3 linked regions of the Drosophila melanogaster genome follow. The protein of the gene in region 2 interacts with the protein of the main gene of each other region in a pairwise test. Each region holds a gene or a part of one and is shown on either strand. Other genes may lie near its edges.

Region 1 (4,619 bases), about 17 Mb from region 2:
ATGGGCTGTTTGGCAGCAACGATTGCGTGTTCCGTTTGCCAGGTTTGAGGGAGACACATCGTTGGCATCGAGTGTTTGGGGAGATTCTCGGGTATATTGCACATTGCAGTCCGCAAATCCCTCCCTGCTTTCTGGATGATTCAGACATGTCCTTATAAAAAAAGAGTGAAAAAGGGCAGAAAGAATACAAGCAGAAAGGAGATAGCTACAAAACGGGTGAGCAACTGGGGAGGGCAGGGTACAAAAAAACAGAAATTCTTTTAAAAAAAGTCCCTAGTTGGTAATGCATTACTACAACATTGGAGGAAACCACTACTTTGGAAATCCCGCTTAAAACACACAGAACTTTGCCGACAGTTTTTTTTTTACTGAAAATGTGGGTTATATTGCAACCAACTGCTAGCATTTTTCACAAAGAAAAATGATCCAATATTAAAGTTACACGAAGCAAAAGGTATTAAAACGCTTTAGCAGTAGTTGTCCCAAGCAGGGTGGGAATGGTGGGTGCAAGCGACATAAGTAATCAACGACCACCACAAAAATGACGTCGGCGATGCGTGCCCCTGATAACAACGAAGCTGAAGGGTGGACCTGTGGGTGAGTGGCTGACCAGGTCCAGGCTAGTCCTGCCATGAATTGCACGCAGCGACGGTCTAGCATGAATAGCCGAATTAAGGGTAAGATGGGTGGAGAGTGAATGAACGAATGGAGAGCAAAGCAAATTGCAGGCTGCATACAAAGCAAGACATGAAAGGAGTGCAATGCGCTATAAAGCAGCTTAACTGCTCCCCTGTCCGGGATTGGGCCGAACTCCTGGCTCCTGGGTCCTTGGAGGTGCTGCCCCTCGGTTCTTCTCTTTCAATTGGTCTGTCTCCACATGAATATGGATTTTATTAGGTTTTTGTTCCGCCACAGAAGACTGTTCGCTCTGCGTTGCCAAGGGAAAATTGCTCCGAGGTATTTAAGAGACAAGAAAGTAAAGCAAAATTGTTAAGGTCAGGCACGTCGGCGATTGTGGATCGGCCCCAAAGAACGAGAGCTGCCGCCTGGCAAAAATTGTTTGCAAATGATTTAAAAACACTTTAGCTAAAGCTAACAATATCCTAGTAACGCATGTCTTCCCTTTTGGTTTGTCGGTAGGTGTGTGCGTGCACGTATGCCAGTCGATGAATTGACCTGAACAAGAGGATTCGTGGTGAATGCAGGTCCAGCCCCAGACCAATTTGGGGATTATGCTCAGACAGAGCCGGATAGTTTTTAGCCGGACTTAAACCCCAACCGAAGGACGCATAACCCGGCCCCGCACTCCATTTCTACGATATTTGCCAGTCGCTGCGTGTAGAAAATCAAAATCAAAATGTCTGCACGCCCTGTTTGGTTTCGGTAACACCTCCGCTACTTTTATATGCAAATTGCTAGTCGAAGCCAGCTGCTGCTATCCTCTAGCCTCAAGTTTTCGGTTTTCGGCTTTCAGTTGGCCAGTAGCCAGCGACAAGCAAACGGTTCAATTAAGCCAATACTTGCGCACACTCGCAAGTAATTTGGCAGCCCTATCACCCATCCCCATCCCATCCCCATCCCATACCCATCCCCAATCTCCAATCCCCAATCCCCAATCCCCAATCCCCAACCCTTTCCCGCCTTCAAGCCCTCGAGCCTTTAGTGCCGCTGCTAAGCGATGGCACATTTTTCGTAGCATACTTTGCGCGGCTGCTTAGCCGACGGCCACCACATCCCACAGAAACCCGCTCAAGTGCTTGTGTGCTTGTGTATCTGGCTCTCTGTGTGTGTGCGAGAGTGTGGGTGCCTGTGTGTGTGGGTTGCGGTTGCGATTGGTATTGCTGTTGCACGCAGAAAGTATAGAGCCACACTGCTATTTTGTGAGCCGTACTCAAGTTATACATAAGTTGGGTGTTGTGTCAGTAAGCCAGATGAGGCAGTAGCGCAACAACACAAGTCCCTAATTGCTGGAGACCTACTTGTCTTCCCCGGACACCGAATTAATATTGTTTTGACTTCTATCAGCTTCAATGCGTGGCTAACATCGAGCGTCGAGTTGTCTGTTTAAATCAATTTGTCATCCCGATTAAAGCCCTAACGAAACAATGTTTTAGTGTGCAGTTTTGCCCAGTTTCCCAGTGTTCTCTGTCAGTTTCATTTTCGGTTTGTGTTTCTGTTCTGAGTTTCGGCTCTTTCGACTTACTCCTTCGTTCCATCGAGTATTGTATCGAAAGTGGAGTGAAATGGTCTGGTGTGCTGTGGTGTGTTGTGGTGTGCTGTAGTGTGGTGTGTTGTTATGTCGTGTGGTGTGGTGTAGTGTGGTGTGGTGGGGATTCGGTGACTCACCTGAACCTGAGCAGTGCCAATGGCCAGGACGACCCAGAGGCTCCTCAGCAACAAATTACGACGCAGCGCGGCGCACATTGTTCGCACTCTTTTCTGCTTCTTTGCTCCTCGTCTGGTTGGCTCCTGGTCCTATCTCCTGGCTGGGAATCTCCGAGTTTGGTCTGAACTTAGCTGCTTCTGCGGCTGGACTGACGTGCTTCCAGTTCTGGTTAATTGTATTTGCTTTGTTGGCTATTCGTTTAACACTTTGCTGCACAGGCGGACGACGGTAGCAGCAGCAAGAAATCGAAAACACAAAAAAATTTCATTAGCAAGCGATTCGGAATTGTGGCCTTTCGTTTCAGCCTTTAACTTTCTGGGTTCTGGGTTATGATTTCTGTTTTCTGATTTCTGCGCTCTAAGGTTCGTACTCCGATTTCGTTCGATTTGCGGTGCCCAAGTTAGCTGCCCACAGCGCAGCGCTTTTCCTTTCGCCGATGCCCAGAAACCTATGCACGGAAAATGTCAACTCGGAAAACTCTGTGCGTGTGGCTTGTATGTGAGTGGCCGTAGTATTCGATTGTGGAACGTAGTAGGAGAGAGTCCGTGATGGGCGGGGGCGGATAAGGGAATTGAAGGAAAAGGAAGAAAAGAAAAATAAGGCAAAGCTACGAGAGTACTCGCTGCTATCTGTCCTGTCATACCCACTCGCTGGTTCTCGGGGTCCTGAGATTGTACTTCCCCGAAACGGAAAATATGAGTGGCACTATGGCCGCCGTTCTGCGCCTGGAAAAGTTGTCAGCTGCAGTCGTCGGGTTCCACGTCCCATGTCACTTGTCCATGTCTCCTGTCTCCTGTCTTGGCAGTTCCCACGCAAATCCACCCACTCGCTAACCCCTTCCCGCACTCTTGGAACGTATCCGTCGGGCTTCTGCGCACTTTCCCAACCCCTTTCTCACTGATTCTGCGCAGGTGCGCTGCTTATTGTCCCCCAGCTAAGTTGGCATCACAAATCCACTATTGGCATCGGCTTCGCTTTTTCTTTCCGAACTTGTATCACTTTGTTTTGGATGTTTCTCTATGGTTTTTGTTGTTGGGTTTCTTTTTTAGCACTATTTAGCACTTGAACAGCAAAAAAAAGTATTGAGCTTGTTTTGGTTAAATTTGACGGTCTCTCAATGTGTGTCTCTGGTTTTGTGCTTGTGGCTCCTCGGCCACCACCTCTCCGCCCGAGCGGGAGAACGACAAGAGCCACTGGCCAGCAGCCCCTGGCCTTCCCAAGCTGTCGGGGAGTGGTCAGATGGGGTGGCCCGAAGAAGCCCCTAAAGCGCTGAGTTTTTGGAGCCCTGGCTGTACGCTATACCTGGCGCTGCGAACGCTCACAAACGACTGCGAGTGGTCTCGTTGCCTGCAATCCTGCGAGTCCACGTCCGAAAGTGCGAACTGCGAAAGTCGAACTCGGGCGCAGAATGCAGAGCGCGTGCCCGGGATCGATATTAAGGGCGAATCGAGCAACTGGCCTTCCGCTTTCCGCGGGGGTGACAATGTTTTTGGCTGTCCGGGCTGCACTATGGTACCAGTGCTTCCAGTGGTAGTGGTATTAGCGGAACAAGCAGGACAGAAGTGACTAGGGAGAACTGGTTCCGCGGGCGAACCAAGAGTGTCTGGCGGAGTGCTTGTTAGTTAGTTTACATGCACACCGCTAGGTGGAAACTCCCAAGGGAATTTCGCACAGGTCACCGTCTTCAAAAGGCTGTCCTATGCACGAGTTTTTATAAACCACTAAACTTAATTCAAATTTGTTTTCCTCGATGGATTCAAGAGTTTATATACTTTTTCTAATGGTGAAGCCAATCTGCACTAGATGGCGTCGATATGTAAGATGTAAGATGTAAGATGTAAGATGTAAGATATGACCAAATCCAAGTTTCCCACCACCAACCACCCAATTTCCTATCCACATCACTTATTGCTTGGCCCTTAGCCAAGTTGCAAACCACTTTCGACATTATTTAACATGTTCATTTTTTCCTTCCCAGCGACTGGCAACTCTGTGCCGCACAGCTGATCTTCTTACCGGCTACAAATTAGATTTCTTACATTTGTTTATTTACGCCGCCTCCTACTTGCTAGGCCTCAGGAAAGCATAAACCTAGGAACGGAGCCTGGTACAGACACGGAGCTATACACCTACAACAACGCACATTTCACCTAGTTGCGCAACGCACTTAGCCGGCTGGCGTGGCAGTGCACGGTAAGCTGAAACGTACGTGGCAATGAATATGAAATCGAGC
Region 2 (7,562 bases):
ACTCCAGTAATAGTAATCTCTCTATTGCAGTTGTGGTCGCTGTGGACACCTGAACGATTTGACGACGAACAATTAATCTCATTGTAGACTTAATACATTTGCAATTCATTTAAATTAACTACAATTATGCTTGCAATGTGAATACATAAAGACAAATAATCAATGAACAATTTAAGACTAAACAAATTCCAATTTAAGGTCTCTTTGCGAATCGATGTAACTTTAAGCTGGTCAAGTTGCAGTTGACGAATTTATAGTTTTTCGATTCCAGCGTAGGCGTGTGAACAGTTGCATATATATTTATATATAGATTGGCGTCTCTTGACCGGTGAGCAAACGAAACATGGACGTGGGCATTGTCTTCATCAGGATCTGATTGGAAAGGTATTGTTAATATAAGAATAACGAATTTAAAAACGCGTCATACCTCGCCCACTGAGGATGACAACAGCTTGACAATGGTATCGTGTGGCACGGCCACAACGCTCTGGTTGTTAATCTCAATGATGCGGTGGCCTACGCGTACTCCACCCCGCTCAGCGATTCCTCCACGCAAAAGACTGCAGATCTGCATTAAATAAATACATATGATTAGAAGGATTAGAATAAGAAGAATAAATTCAGCATTTTATAATTACCACGCCATTTTGAACACTAAAACCCAACTGGAACAGCGCCTTGGGACGCAGGATCTTAACCTCGACGACAGGCGGACAGGGCACAACGGTGAACTTGACGGCAGTTTGGTTCTTGGCATTGCGTATGTAGCTCTGGCAGGTGGACAGCGGCAGTCCCACCAGGCTCATGCCGTTAATGGCGATCAGCTGGTCACCGATGTTCAGCTGGCCGCAGCGGGCAGCTGCTCCTGAACTCATCAGGTTGGCAATCACCACGGTGGGCAGCATGGATCCCCAGCCACTCTCTACGATCACCACGCCTAGGATCTCGCCTTTCGCCTTCGGCACAACTACCTCCTTTTGCAGCTCCTTTTTGGCAAAGATCTCCAGCTCATCACCGAAAATCTCCTGACTGTTGAGCACCTCCTGGTAGTCCATCTCTTTGGCCAGACTCTCGTTTTCGATGCCGTTCGCCTTCAGGAACTCCATGTAGGCCACCTGGTTAGGTTTTGATTGTTAATTATACGTGCCAATAATATTATTAATATTCGCGTACCTGGAAGGCCTGTCCAATGGACTGAGCTATGAACTGCGCCTCATCGCTTTCGAACACGTGGCAGATCATTTTGGGCGTGCGATTGTGCTTGCTGAGTGGCTCTTTGGGGGGCGACTCCTCCTCGCCTATGCCCGGAGTGGGAACATCACCTAATGGACTGGTGATCGATGGATCCACAACACTATTCGGTACGAATCGACGACGAGCCATCAGCACAACCAGATCGCCAATGTCAGCTATATAGGATATAGTACGCAGCGCATGGTCCATCATGATCTCCTTGAGATCCGTGTTAAGCACCATTATCTTTTCGGTTGATATGAACAGGTCCACTTCAGTGCTCGGCTGACTTTCGCCCTCGGGAGCCTGGTAAAAAAATAGCAAATCATATATTATATAATGCATTTAATTCTTAATGCTATCATTTGACGACTGAAAGGGGCTAACGAACGCTTACCAAAGCCTATCGAGAGGAATGCGCAGCAGGGAACGAGAAAAGCGAACGAGAAAGTTTTTAGACACACACATAGAGCATAACCTAGCGGGGTTTCCTTGAATGGATGTGCTTTCGTGTGCATCACCAGGTTTTCACTTCACTTACCTTGATCCTGGAAACGGCCTCCTCGGCCTGCATCATTCTGGTCGACTTGGTCGGCTGACCCTCGCAGACAAGTTGAGTGGATCCAAGGTATCTGGCCCGAAACAACACGCCCTCAATGAGAACTTTGGGTTCCAAGAGACCTAAGAACGAACATTATTTAAATTAGTTACGAAGTGCGTTAATGGTCTTCATTTCTGATTGTTAATACACATAAGGGTAGTTTAATAAACCTAAACATCTGCTGGGTAACAGAGACTTACGTGATGTCAGCATTAAATAGATTTGAATTGCAGCGTGAAATGTTGAATCGGTTTCCATATCAGTAAACGAACAACAAGGGGCGTTGACAACTGTGCTAACTTACCCTCTTTGTTCCGCGATTTGGCCTTCTTGTCCGAGTTGGCAGAGTCCTTCAGGGATTTAATAGAGCCCGTGGGACTTTTGGTGAACTGCAGTTTTTCCGGCGAGCTTATGGAGATGTCGGTCGTGCCCACAATCTGACAGATGTCCGGCGAATTGGGTGTCAACGAGGTGCCGATGCCTTGTCGAATGGTGGCCGTCGAGTAGGTTTGCGGCTTGCTATTATTCATAGGATTCGGATTGTTGTTGTCCGACGTGCCATTTAGATGCCCATTGCTGGCAATATCCGTGCCCTCATTGGCATTGTTATCAGCCAGGCTCTGTAAAATTATTATTTCGTAATTATTTTGAGCTGATATCTCTGTAAGTTTGCATTCCTCACCTGATCGGCGAAGAAATCCTGCTCATCGTGCCTCTGCTGACCCAATAGACGATCTGTTTCAAGGTCGGTGTCTGGTTCCTCATCCGCCGCCGCACCTTGGGCCGTCGAGATCGTCGTCCCTTTGCGTGGAACCCAAACCGGTGAATCTGGATCCGTGGGCAGCACTTCGTCACAGAATTTTAGTTTTTCAGGCTGCGTTTTAGCACGCTGCAAGGCGGAACGTATCTCCTTCATGGCCTCCTGGATTTCCGAAGCAGCCTGCGATGGCAAAGATCCTCCCGCAGTTACTGGTGTCACCCCCAGTCCTGATCCCGCTGACTTCTCTGTGTGAGTACCTCCCAAAGCTGCTGCATAAACCGCACCGTAGTGACTGTCCAGTGGATTATCAGCATCTGGGACCATGGTCATGGATTCACTTGCATCGGCGATCTCGATTTGGGGCGGCGATGATGGAGGCGGAGCCGGGGGCATGGGCAGTGAGGCGAAGTCGCTTATCAGCGCCGATTGCGAGGCATCTGTGGTCAATGTGGCCAAGCTGGCGCTCATCACATTGTAGTCGTTCTCCAGCCGCTCGCCATTACCGTTGTGCTCGTGGACGGGCTGAGATTGGGACGATTGCTGCTTGTCACACACCACGGATACGTTGTTCTCCGTGTCGGAGGCGTGGCCACTGCTCAGGCCATCTTCTAGGACAGGCATGCTCGTATACAGTTTACCAAAATCCGTGGGGCAGTTAATGTCGTTAGACAGACTGTCCAAATCACCGCAATTCGAATCGTAATCCGTCGTCTCGGGAGACAGGGTAAAGTTTCGGGAGTGTCGGCGCAGATTTGCCTCCAGTTCGGTGTCCGCCAAATCGCCGCTGCTTCGGCTATTCGAATCAATGTACAGCTCAATATCATTATGCTCCTGGTAGGCCGTCGATGGATTCTGGTCACTGGGCTAGAAATCGAACAATCGTTAGCTATTTTAATGAATTTCATTTCGTTATGACTCACTGGCTTTTTAGTAGGCGACCGGTGAACCATGTAGAGCTCATCTTTAGGTATTCTCGCCAACCGCTGTCCTATATATGCCTGCTCCATGGGCGTGGCTGGGTACTCTTGTGGCTGCTAGTCAATCAAAATGCAATATTAAATGGGTTTCTAGGCTTCTTGGAAGTAGTAGTACTCACCGAGCTAGCGACATCGTCTCCACTTTCCGTGGTGTAATCCGTGTACCGCTTTTCGTCCTCCGGATTCGCCTTGAAGAACTCCTCCAGCACCTTTCTGGTCTCTGAGAATTCGTACAGGTAGTCGAAAGTAGGTGTTTTCTCGCGAAGCGTCCCGGAACGCTCTTCCTCGTGGTCGACCAAATCGATAAGGTTGCCCACGGATGCTTTAGCTGCAGCAGTTGCATTATTAGCGACACTGGTGGTGGGCGAAACTCTTTGCGGGAAACCCGGCGGACGTTTTCTAGGACCACCCATGGTAATGGTATTTGTATTCGGTTGACTTCCAAATCGTCGCGGTGAACCCTCGTACTCGGCTATTGGCAGCTGTCCAATCATTTTGGTCACCTTGAGGACATCCTCATTGCTGCCTGGACGCTGGCCACTCGATGCCTTGTTCATCCAGTTTGTGTCAATGTCGTCGAACACCACGATCTCACCATCACGCAGGCACTGACCGTCCGCCTTGCCCACATCCGTTGGTGAGCCGGGGCTGGCCAATCCCTTAAAGAAAAAGCAGAAAAATCTCATTGTAGTGACTGAAACTACGCCTCTAAGTAATTCTCCAAGTTAAATTACCTGTGGCAGGACATCCCGTGTCTCAAACTGGCTGCCCGGACTCCTACCCAGTCGGATTTGATGCAACTGCGGTCGCTGGTAGTAATAGCTGCCAGAATCGCGTCCCGCATTCGAACCATAGCTGCCGGATCCCTGAACACCTCCGCCCGATGGCGAAAGACCCTGCAGCGGAACGTAGGACAGCTCGCCATTGAGATCCGGCGAATTGAGCACCGTGCTGGCTGGCGTCACATTTGGGCTACGGGTTCGCATCTCCCACACATAACGTTCCTGCTGCTGCTGCTGCTGCTGGTGCTGATGCGATTGCTGCTGCTGCGCCTGCTGGCCAAAGTTCATCTGTATGTGCGGTGGATTGACCATGGACTCGTTACTGCTGTCACTGCAGGAGTTTGAGTTCATGGCTGCACCAACAACTTTGATTCTCCAGGTATGAGGGACTGCGGCTTCGATACTACTACAACTACTGCTCTAGTGCTGCTGCTGCTGCATCCGCTGCTGCTGCTGCGATTGCTGCCTCACTGTGGGCCACTGCCTGGGGGAGAATGGATGATTAGTCGATGATCTAAGGCGGCAATGATTCACTGCGCTGCAGCTCAGCCCAGAAAAAAATCAGGGACAGGTGGTCGTGTCGATGACGTACTTTTGCTGGATACCTTGCCGCTGCGTACTATATATTTAAATCGACATAGAAATACCTGGATTACCGGGTGTGTTTAGACATACGCGATACGGACAACAGGAACCAGCACAGTAAAATGCCAATCTATAAAATTGCTGATTTGTTATTTTTGGACCTAAGCCTATTGCTTTAAATTGGGTTTGCCCCAATCATTCCCTAATCATTCTCATGTGTATTTGTATCTTATTACAGGTCCTAGCTCACCTCGTTAAATGTAATTGAGTTTAGCTAATAATAAGTATTCCATTGTTTCGAGCTTCGGTTTGTTGCTGCACTGGTTTGGTAACCTCTGGTTGTGGTGACCCCCTGGCTGGCCAGCGCAATCAATGCGGGCAATTAACCCACTATTGCCTGTCCATGTGTCTATATGTGGACACCTTTTTTAGGGCCCCCCGCCGCGGTTGCCACTGACCGAGCTTGCGAGTTTCCGAGTTCCGGAGCTACCGTGTCCGTGGTTGATTGCGCACACGTAAACTTGGCCTCCAAAAGTCCTCGCGCAGGCAAAACAAACGCAGGAAGCTGCAGCCAGACACAACAACCACCCACGCGAAGGTTGAAGGATGTGTGGTGGGTGGTGCAAGTGGGTGGTGCCAGGGGGCGATGGTGGTGCTGGTGCTAGCCCTTTGTTGTCGCCGATTGTTGCAATCACTCAGCACTTTGGAGGCGTGGGAAAAAAACAAACTCCCCGTTACCGTTATGTGTATCTATCCATGTGCGTATTGTTAAAAATCAATAGATTTGTCGTATTTTTTTTGCAGCTCCTTTGCTTTTCGTTTCGTTATTTTTTGGTGGGGGCACCGCACAACACAACACACTCATGCACACACTCGTCGCATAACGACGCACACACGCAGCGCACTCGAGCAACAACAACTGAAACGGCGGCAACAACAACACGGCCAGCAAATAGGCACGAAAACAACACCTGTCGCGGTTTTATATTTACCATTTAATTCATATTTATTGCACTACTCCTTCAGCAACTCGATTGGCGCAGAGCGATTGGCAGCAATATAGATAGTCTCTGCTAGAACATCGATGGCCTATCGATTGCTATCGACAGCGAACAGCCGGACAGTGTTGAGCAGCGTTAGAGGGTACTATTCAATTCGTACCTAAGTAGGTGCTAAAAGCCATTTTAAACATATTTAAATATGTTTCCTTCTCCACCCCAGCTTTACTTGACTTTACCCTTTCTCCTGTACCTTGCCCTAATTACGCGGTACCGTCTACTTTTCCAACACTCCTTGTACGATGAATTTCCCGCGCCAATTGATAACACTTTTTCGAATAATATCAGTTTAGCATTTAATGATTAATGTACTCCATCTGGGTTTTGTTTTTCGTTTAATATTTGCAACATTCGAACGGATAGTACAAGTACAAGTGGTGTATAAAAGTTCGATGAGCAAAATTGACAAGGATTGTGTGGCAGTAAACAGTTTTTCTTGTTCTTCGTTAGCTTATAATTCGTTTTATATATTTGTGTATATTGAAACAATTTCTTGCAGTCTTGCCAGAATTTCAGTGATAATAATTCGTTCGTTCAAGATTTATCAAGCAATTAAAATTTTAACAGCAAGTTTTGTTTTTCCATCGAAAACTTAATGAATTAAGTTAGGAATTAGACACGGATTATTTTCCCAAAAATTCTAGCAACACCGGTGTGTGGTTGTGTGATGTTTTCTTTTAATTGTTGTTTGCTTGCTTCGCTTTTAATACATTAATTACAGTGTAAAGTTGCTCTATAGGCTAAACTGGAAGGAATGATTGCATTTAATTGTTGGACACAAAGTTGGAAACTTAATAAATAGTGTTTTCTAAAATTAGACTTGGGTTGGGAAGGGCGATAAAATAGTCAACAATATAAATAAGGTTTAATAATTAACTAACAGATACGAGTACAATGGGTTGGTTTACAAAAATCGGGTTAGTGGGGAAGTTGTTAGGGAAAGGCTTTAACTAACAGTCAAGGCCAACAAAAACATTGCGCACTTAGGATCTACACGTACACTAAACATAATTTTGGTAGTTTTGGGCTTAAACTAGTTGCTCGTTTGGTTGCCTAACATTAGTAAATACATACACGCGCTTAAAAACTACGCTACTTAATGATTATGATGTCTGGTTGTCAAATCAGGAATGGAATTTTAACAGCGAAACGAAACAGAATCGTAATCGAAATCGAACCAAAGACGTACAATAAATGATAGAGGGGATTGGACTTCCAACGGGGAAGGCCGGAGATTAAAGCTTTGTATGTTTGACCGTATCCGTCCAGTAGTTCTGTATTGTCATCGCCTCCAGCGAATTGAGAAACGAGTCGTTGTCCAGGCTGTACATCTCATCCGAATTGTCCTGCAAAATCAAGAGAGAGAACTATTTAGTGCATAGGACATTCAAGCGCCACTGGCAATTGGTCAACGAATCCTTACACTCACCCGCATCGTGCTATCATCGATATAGACACTCGAGTCTGGTTCGCTGAGCGCCTGCGGTTTGTTCAGATACCGACGACGGTACAGTACGATCCCAATGGTGCCCACTGTGCAGCAGACGCCGAAGACAGTGAAGCAAA
Region 3 (5,019 bases), about 15 Mb from region 2:
CCCTTATAGCCTCCTCCTAATGATGATGGCTTGACAAATATTTATTGCTTAAGCATTTGAGTGCAAATATTTTAATTAGTCTGGCGACAAGACAACAGATCTGGAAATGGAAAGTATAGATGGAACTGGATCTGGGATTCGGACTTCTGGACTTCTGGATTCTGGGCCCCATTTCTCAACGCTGATGAGGCTTAATGAACTGCAAAGCGGCCCTCAATTGTCTTCAATTAACCAAATTAACCAAGGGATAAATTGCTTGCCTTTCGAATGCCCTCGTCTGCATTTCTTTTTAGAGATGAGATGAGAAATTAGCTGGCAGATGCAAATACCAGGCAATAAGTCTTTTCTTATTGTACCTAAATGATATAAAATACCAATTATTCATTAAACGAAGCACTTTCTTAAACAAAAAAAAAAAACAGGCAAAACGGATGAGCGCAGCAGTCAAATCGGTGGAACCGATACGGCAGAAACTGTCAAAAAGCCTGACAGCTCCGCTCTCAAGGTAATCCATCCAGCGCGGTGGGGCAAAAGGGGGTGACGAACATAATTTGTGGCATGCAAAGAACTAACAAAGCGACAGGCAGGCGAAAAAAAAAAAACAAAAAAAATGCAAAATCGCAGGGCGAAATTGAAAAGGAAAAATAAGTTTCGACATGCTGACGAGGACGCGTCAAAACGATCCAACAAATGCGGCCTCGCCAATCGATAACACAGCAACAAAAAGTGCAGGAGAAATACAGGCGGCAGCAACAACTTGCGACATGAGCATGTTGCACTTCCTGCCACGCCTACCGAACGCCTCTTTTGCCATCCTTTTCCCACACTCCCCAATTTCCTCCTGTCGATTGTTTCAGACGTTTTTAGCAATTTGCAATGCCAGCAAATTGGGCCAAATTATAAAATCCAAAAGCTACACACACGTTCCCAAATACACTTTAAAAATATTTTTTCTTTTTGTTTTCAAACCAAAAAACTTAATAACGTTATTCAAAATGAATTTATAGGAGCTTCAATCAAGATAAATAAGTATGAAAATAAGTTAATTTCAATTAAAAAAAAAAAGAACAAATACTTTTTCTGGTCAAAGACTAACTTTTTTTGAGACTAGTTTTCTTAATCGTGCTTTAGCAAATCTCCCAGCCAATCAATATTTTTCCGGTGTTTATCATGCGACATATATGAACCCAGAGGATGGAGCAGAGTAAGTAAAAGGTTAGCTTGCCAAAGAAGATTGAAACTTTGCTTGCTTTTTTAATGACAAGGGACAGGTGCGTGAGTCTGAAGATACGCTTGTATATGCATTTGCAGATGTTTGAGTATCTGTGTGCAATGTATCGATGTATTGGTAAAGCTTCTGGGCCTTCAGCTTCTTTAGCTCGCATTTCTGTTCTTTAACACCACAGCCGCTAGCAACATTTTCTTCGCTTACAGCTGGGGGGAGTTACACAGAGAAAAATTTTATGAGTAATAAATAAATTTCTATTGGATTTGGAATAATTGATTTATGATTTTTGAATGTGTCAATAAGAGAGTCGAATTACTGGCATTTCACTTAATCAATGACAAAAGGAATTAAATGTATTTGCAAATTTATTTACTTAAAACCAAATGAATTAATCCATAAATGTCAGAAATAAACCATTGAAATAGGTATACCATTCGAATGTTATAAATAAATATACGCATTAAAGAATTACACCAAAGCGCACATTTAATATACATTGCCTATTATGTAGATTAAAACTTGAAGTTGAATGTTATACTCATTAAAGTTTATCGTTTGCCGTAAATTATTCAGAATGATTTTAGCATTGTTTAGCATATATTCAAGTAGATTTTTTGTTTGTGTACATACTTGTATACGAACAAAAAATCATTCTATACATTTAATATTAATTTTTCAACTTAAGTGCTTACGAAATGCCTAATCGTTGACTAGCTTTGTACATTTTGTTTTTCAAAGTTATTGCTTTAAATCATAAATCATGCAAAACCAAGGAAAGAAGAGATCGAATCAGTTAAGAAGAGCACTTTTTTCTATAGATGCTCAGAGGGATGGAATGGTCAGAAGAAGCTAATTAGGTGTCCAAGGTCTGGAGTTGAAGATCTATTATTGTAGAGGGGAAAGTATATCTGTGATATACAACTTAACATAGATTTTGTATAATAAACCTCATTTTCAGATTGATAAGATCTAAACGTTATTCGAAAGATGGTAATTTAATTTATTTTATATTTTATTACATTTTAATATTTTCAGCAACTAGTACTTGCCATTGGGCATTTCATTAGGCAGAAAGGAAAATATAAATTTTGCTTTAACAAAGTCTACTTACAACCAAAAATCATGCTTCCATTTTCAATTAAAAACACATATATTTTCTTCGAAAAAAAAAAAAATACACTCAAGCAAACTCGAAATCCAAATGCCAAAGTGGCCAAAAGCGAAACTTTTGAGGGGCCAAAAGAGGCGGAGACTTGGCCAGTAACAGTATATTATAAACAAAATCAAACGAAAAGGTCAAAGTGAGGGAGCAGCTGTTGCAGTTGGCGCATGAAAAAAGCCAAAAGCACAGGAGTTTTCTTTAGATTTTACTGATGAACTTTTTTACTCACACTGTTTGTTTGTAATCAATTTAAACAATTTCGGCTCCTTAGTCCTCTTATATGCATATATATTTTTAACTGACTCTGACCGGCCACTGGCACTAATCCATAATTGTTGGGTTGACAATTTTCAGCTTGTTTGGTTTTTCGGGCTTTGTTTTTATGATAGCCTTGTTTATTCCATTTTAAGCACACACTTTTCCACTGGTAATCCACACCAAAATGAAATTTTTTGGCTTGCGTTTGCACCAAAAAAAAAATTGACGTTTAGTTATATATTTCGTTTTAATTATCTGAGATTTACTGAGAGTTTTCTCGGGCGAATATGCGATGCGAGTTCTCGTCTTCGGGGTCTCGAAAAGTATCTGTGAGATACCAGCTATCGAAAGTACGGAGTTTCCGCCGCTACGAAGCGAACGGTACGAGCGAACGGAACGAAGTGCGAACTCGATCCAAAAATCCGACTTCTTCGGCCGGCGCGGCTTGTCTTCAAACAAAACAAAGCGACGCAACATGTTCGATGATGTTGCAAGTGGTGTTTCAGGCTCTAACAGCATGCAACAGGGCTAACAGCGCGGCTCGATGCAACCTCTGTTCTATGTTGTTATTCATTTGGATTATGTTTGGCAGCCAATGTTTTTTTAAATTCCCATATATATGGGATATATGTTTTCATATCATATATTTACTATAAGTTTTCAGATGCAATGTATAAATTATATTAAAAAATATTATAAATTATTTATACGAATCAATTTAGTGTTCGCTATACATATCTTTTTTGTTTCTGTGCACGCAAATTTGGGGATATTGCCAGCCGATGTGCCACGATTTTTGGCCATCTGTCTTTTGGCCTTAATTGCACTCTGATTTGCTGTTAGCAGCGCCACCTTCCGCCAAAAGTGTGGACCACCAACTGTTGCCGGAGAAGATAAAAAACAAAAAAAAAAAGATCACATAAAGTATAAACCCTTTAAACACTGCAGATTGAGATAAAGTAGGAGAATTGGCCGTCAAGAGGTCAATGCTGTCGGGACAGCAGCTGTTCACCAATCTCTCCTCCTTCTTCGCACCCACAATTCTTCCCGTTTTGGTAGAAATCTGCAGTCTTTCTTCCGATTGTGGAATGCCAGAAGGGCTGTGAAGAGCGACATATGGTCCTCTACAGAGCAATTTGAGTAAAAAGTCCAAATCTGTGGCTTGACAAAACGGCGGAAATCCCATGGGAACCACACAGAGAAGTGTTTAACATGATTTTCAAAAAGAAGCTATTAATTTATCATTAAATTAGCTTAATTTTTACATTAAGCAGCCCTTTTTTGAAGTGCCAACATTCCTGCGCTTTTTGCTGCATGCATAATTTTAGTTGGCTTAAGAACATTTCAAATGTCACACTTGTAGTAAAGCCAAGCTCAGCTGAAAACTCAAACACTGTGGGAGCCATTTTACTAGGTGCGACTTGTTAATCAATCGACTGCATGATGAGTTGATTCTAAGTTTTCCCATAATTGAATCGATACACAAGCTGTGCGCTCCACGAGAGATAGGGAGATACAAAAGATACAAAGATACTACCAGCGATGAAGATGGACTGTTGGATGGGAAGATTTCGGCACTGGAGACATGCAAGACCAAAATAAACAAGTTTCGGAAGGGAAATTTATGGCACGATTGCTGCGAACGCAATTTAAACTACGCGTGTGAGGGAGGCACCGCCGGAAAATCGGAAAATTCGGAGCGAGTGATGAAGTGTCGGCTCTCTTCCAATTTTCCGCTCTCTCTTCGCGCCTCTTTCCACGCATTGCTTGCCTTTTCGAGGGGGGATTTTCCAAGCACCGCTGATTTTCTTCGGCTCCCCAAGTAATTGTCATGTAATTTATGGCCGCCGTATGGGAATATCAATGCATTGCGCTCTAAATTTACACAAAGACGAAAGATAAGGCGAACGTTGTTGCATAGTCAGGGCATTTCCTCTACATATGCGTAGTCCAAAATTGTTTATAAACACCCCAACAAACTATAACAAAAAGCCTTTCTCGATAAGAAGGTTCATAGCCAGATCCCATAAATTCCATTCGCAAGATAGGATTTCTGTTGCAGCATTTTGAAACACTATATTACCAATAAAATCGAAATGCATGCACAAGTTTTGTCCTTAAATATTTCAGATAGCTCCCCTATCACGCACACCCTTTTTAACCCCAAACAAATTTGTTATAGCTAATTTGTGGTTTTTTCTTTTCAAATATATAAACTCATGGAATCTATACAACGTTTTAAAGTATTTCTTGAATTCAAGACTTATTTCCATAGCATTGTATCAAATCAAATGCTCTGTTTATCGCTATTTTTAGTTGACAGTTTTGGCTGCTCATTAATATGGTTAAAAGGTGCGGAGGGAAGAACTCT

The links. Proteins that work in one complex are often made in the same cells at the same time.
Region 1: the proteins of X11L (region 2) and Appl interact in a two-hybrid assay, tested with the Drosophila melanogaster proteins (one study listed by BioGRID).
Region 3: the proteins of X11L (region 2) and rst interact in a two-hybrid assay, tested with the Drosophila melanogaster proteins (one study listed by BioGRID).

The regions. Positions count from the first base shown.
Region 1 is NC_004354.4:529,604-534,222, reverse strand, and holds the start of Appl (beta amyloid protein precursor-like), read right to left. Parts: upstream 3,054-4,619; 5' UTR 3,034-3,053; intron 2,597-3,033; 5' UTR 2,425-2,596; coding exon 2,347-2,424; intron 1-2,346. UniProt on the Drosophila melanogaster protein: During development, plays a role in the regulation of the neddylation pathway. Appl and APP-BP1 interact antagonistically during development.
Region 2 is NC_004354.4:17,598,048-17,605,609, reverse strand, and holds the start of X11L (X11L), read right to left. Parts: upstream 6,003-7,562; 5' UTR 5,931-6,002; intron 5,620-5,930; exon of another isoform or gene 5,189-5,619; intron 4,838-5,188; 5' UTR 4,705-4,837; coding exon 4,306-4,704; intron 4,231-4,305; coding exon 3,691-4,230; intron 3,629-3,690; coding exon 3,515-3,628; intron 3,459-3,514; coding exon 2,517-3,458; intron 2,455-2,516; coding exon 2,139-2,454; intron 1,915-2,138; coding exon 1,775-1,914; intron 1,637-1,774; coding exon 1,631-1,636; intron 1,540-1,630; coding exon 1,174-1,539; intron 1,116-1,173; coding exon 639-1,115; intron 569-638; coding exon 428-568; intron 373-427; coding exon 301-372; 3' UTR 1-300. Other genes in the region: CG12991 (uncharacterized protein), read right to left, coding at 7,232-7,363, 7,426-7,562.
Region 3 is NC_004354.4:2,970,782-2,975,800, forward strand, and holds the start of rst (roughest), read right to left. Parts: upstream 3,054-5,019; 5' UTR 2,620-3,053; intron 1-2,619. UniProt on the Drosophila melanogaster protein: Required for correct axonal pathway formation in the optic lobe and for programmed cell death in the developing retina.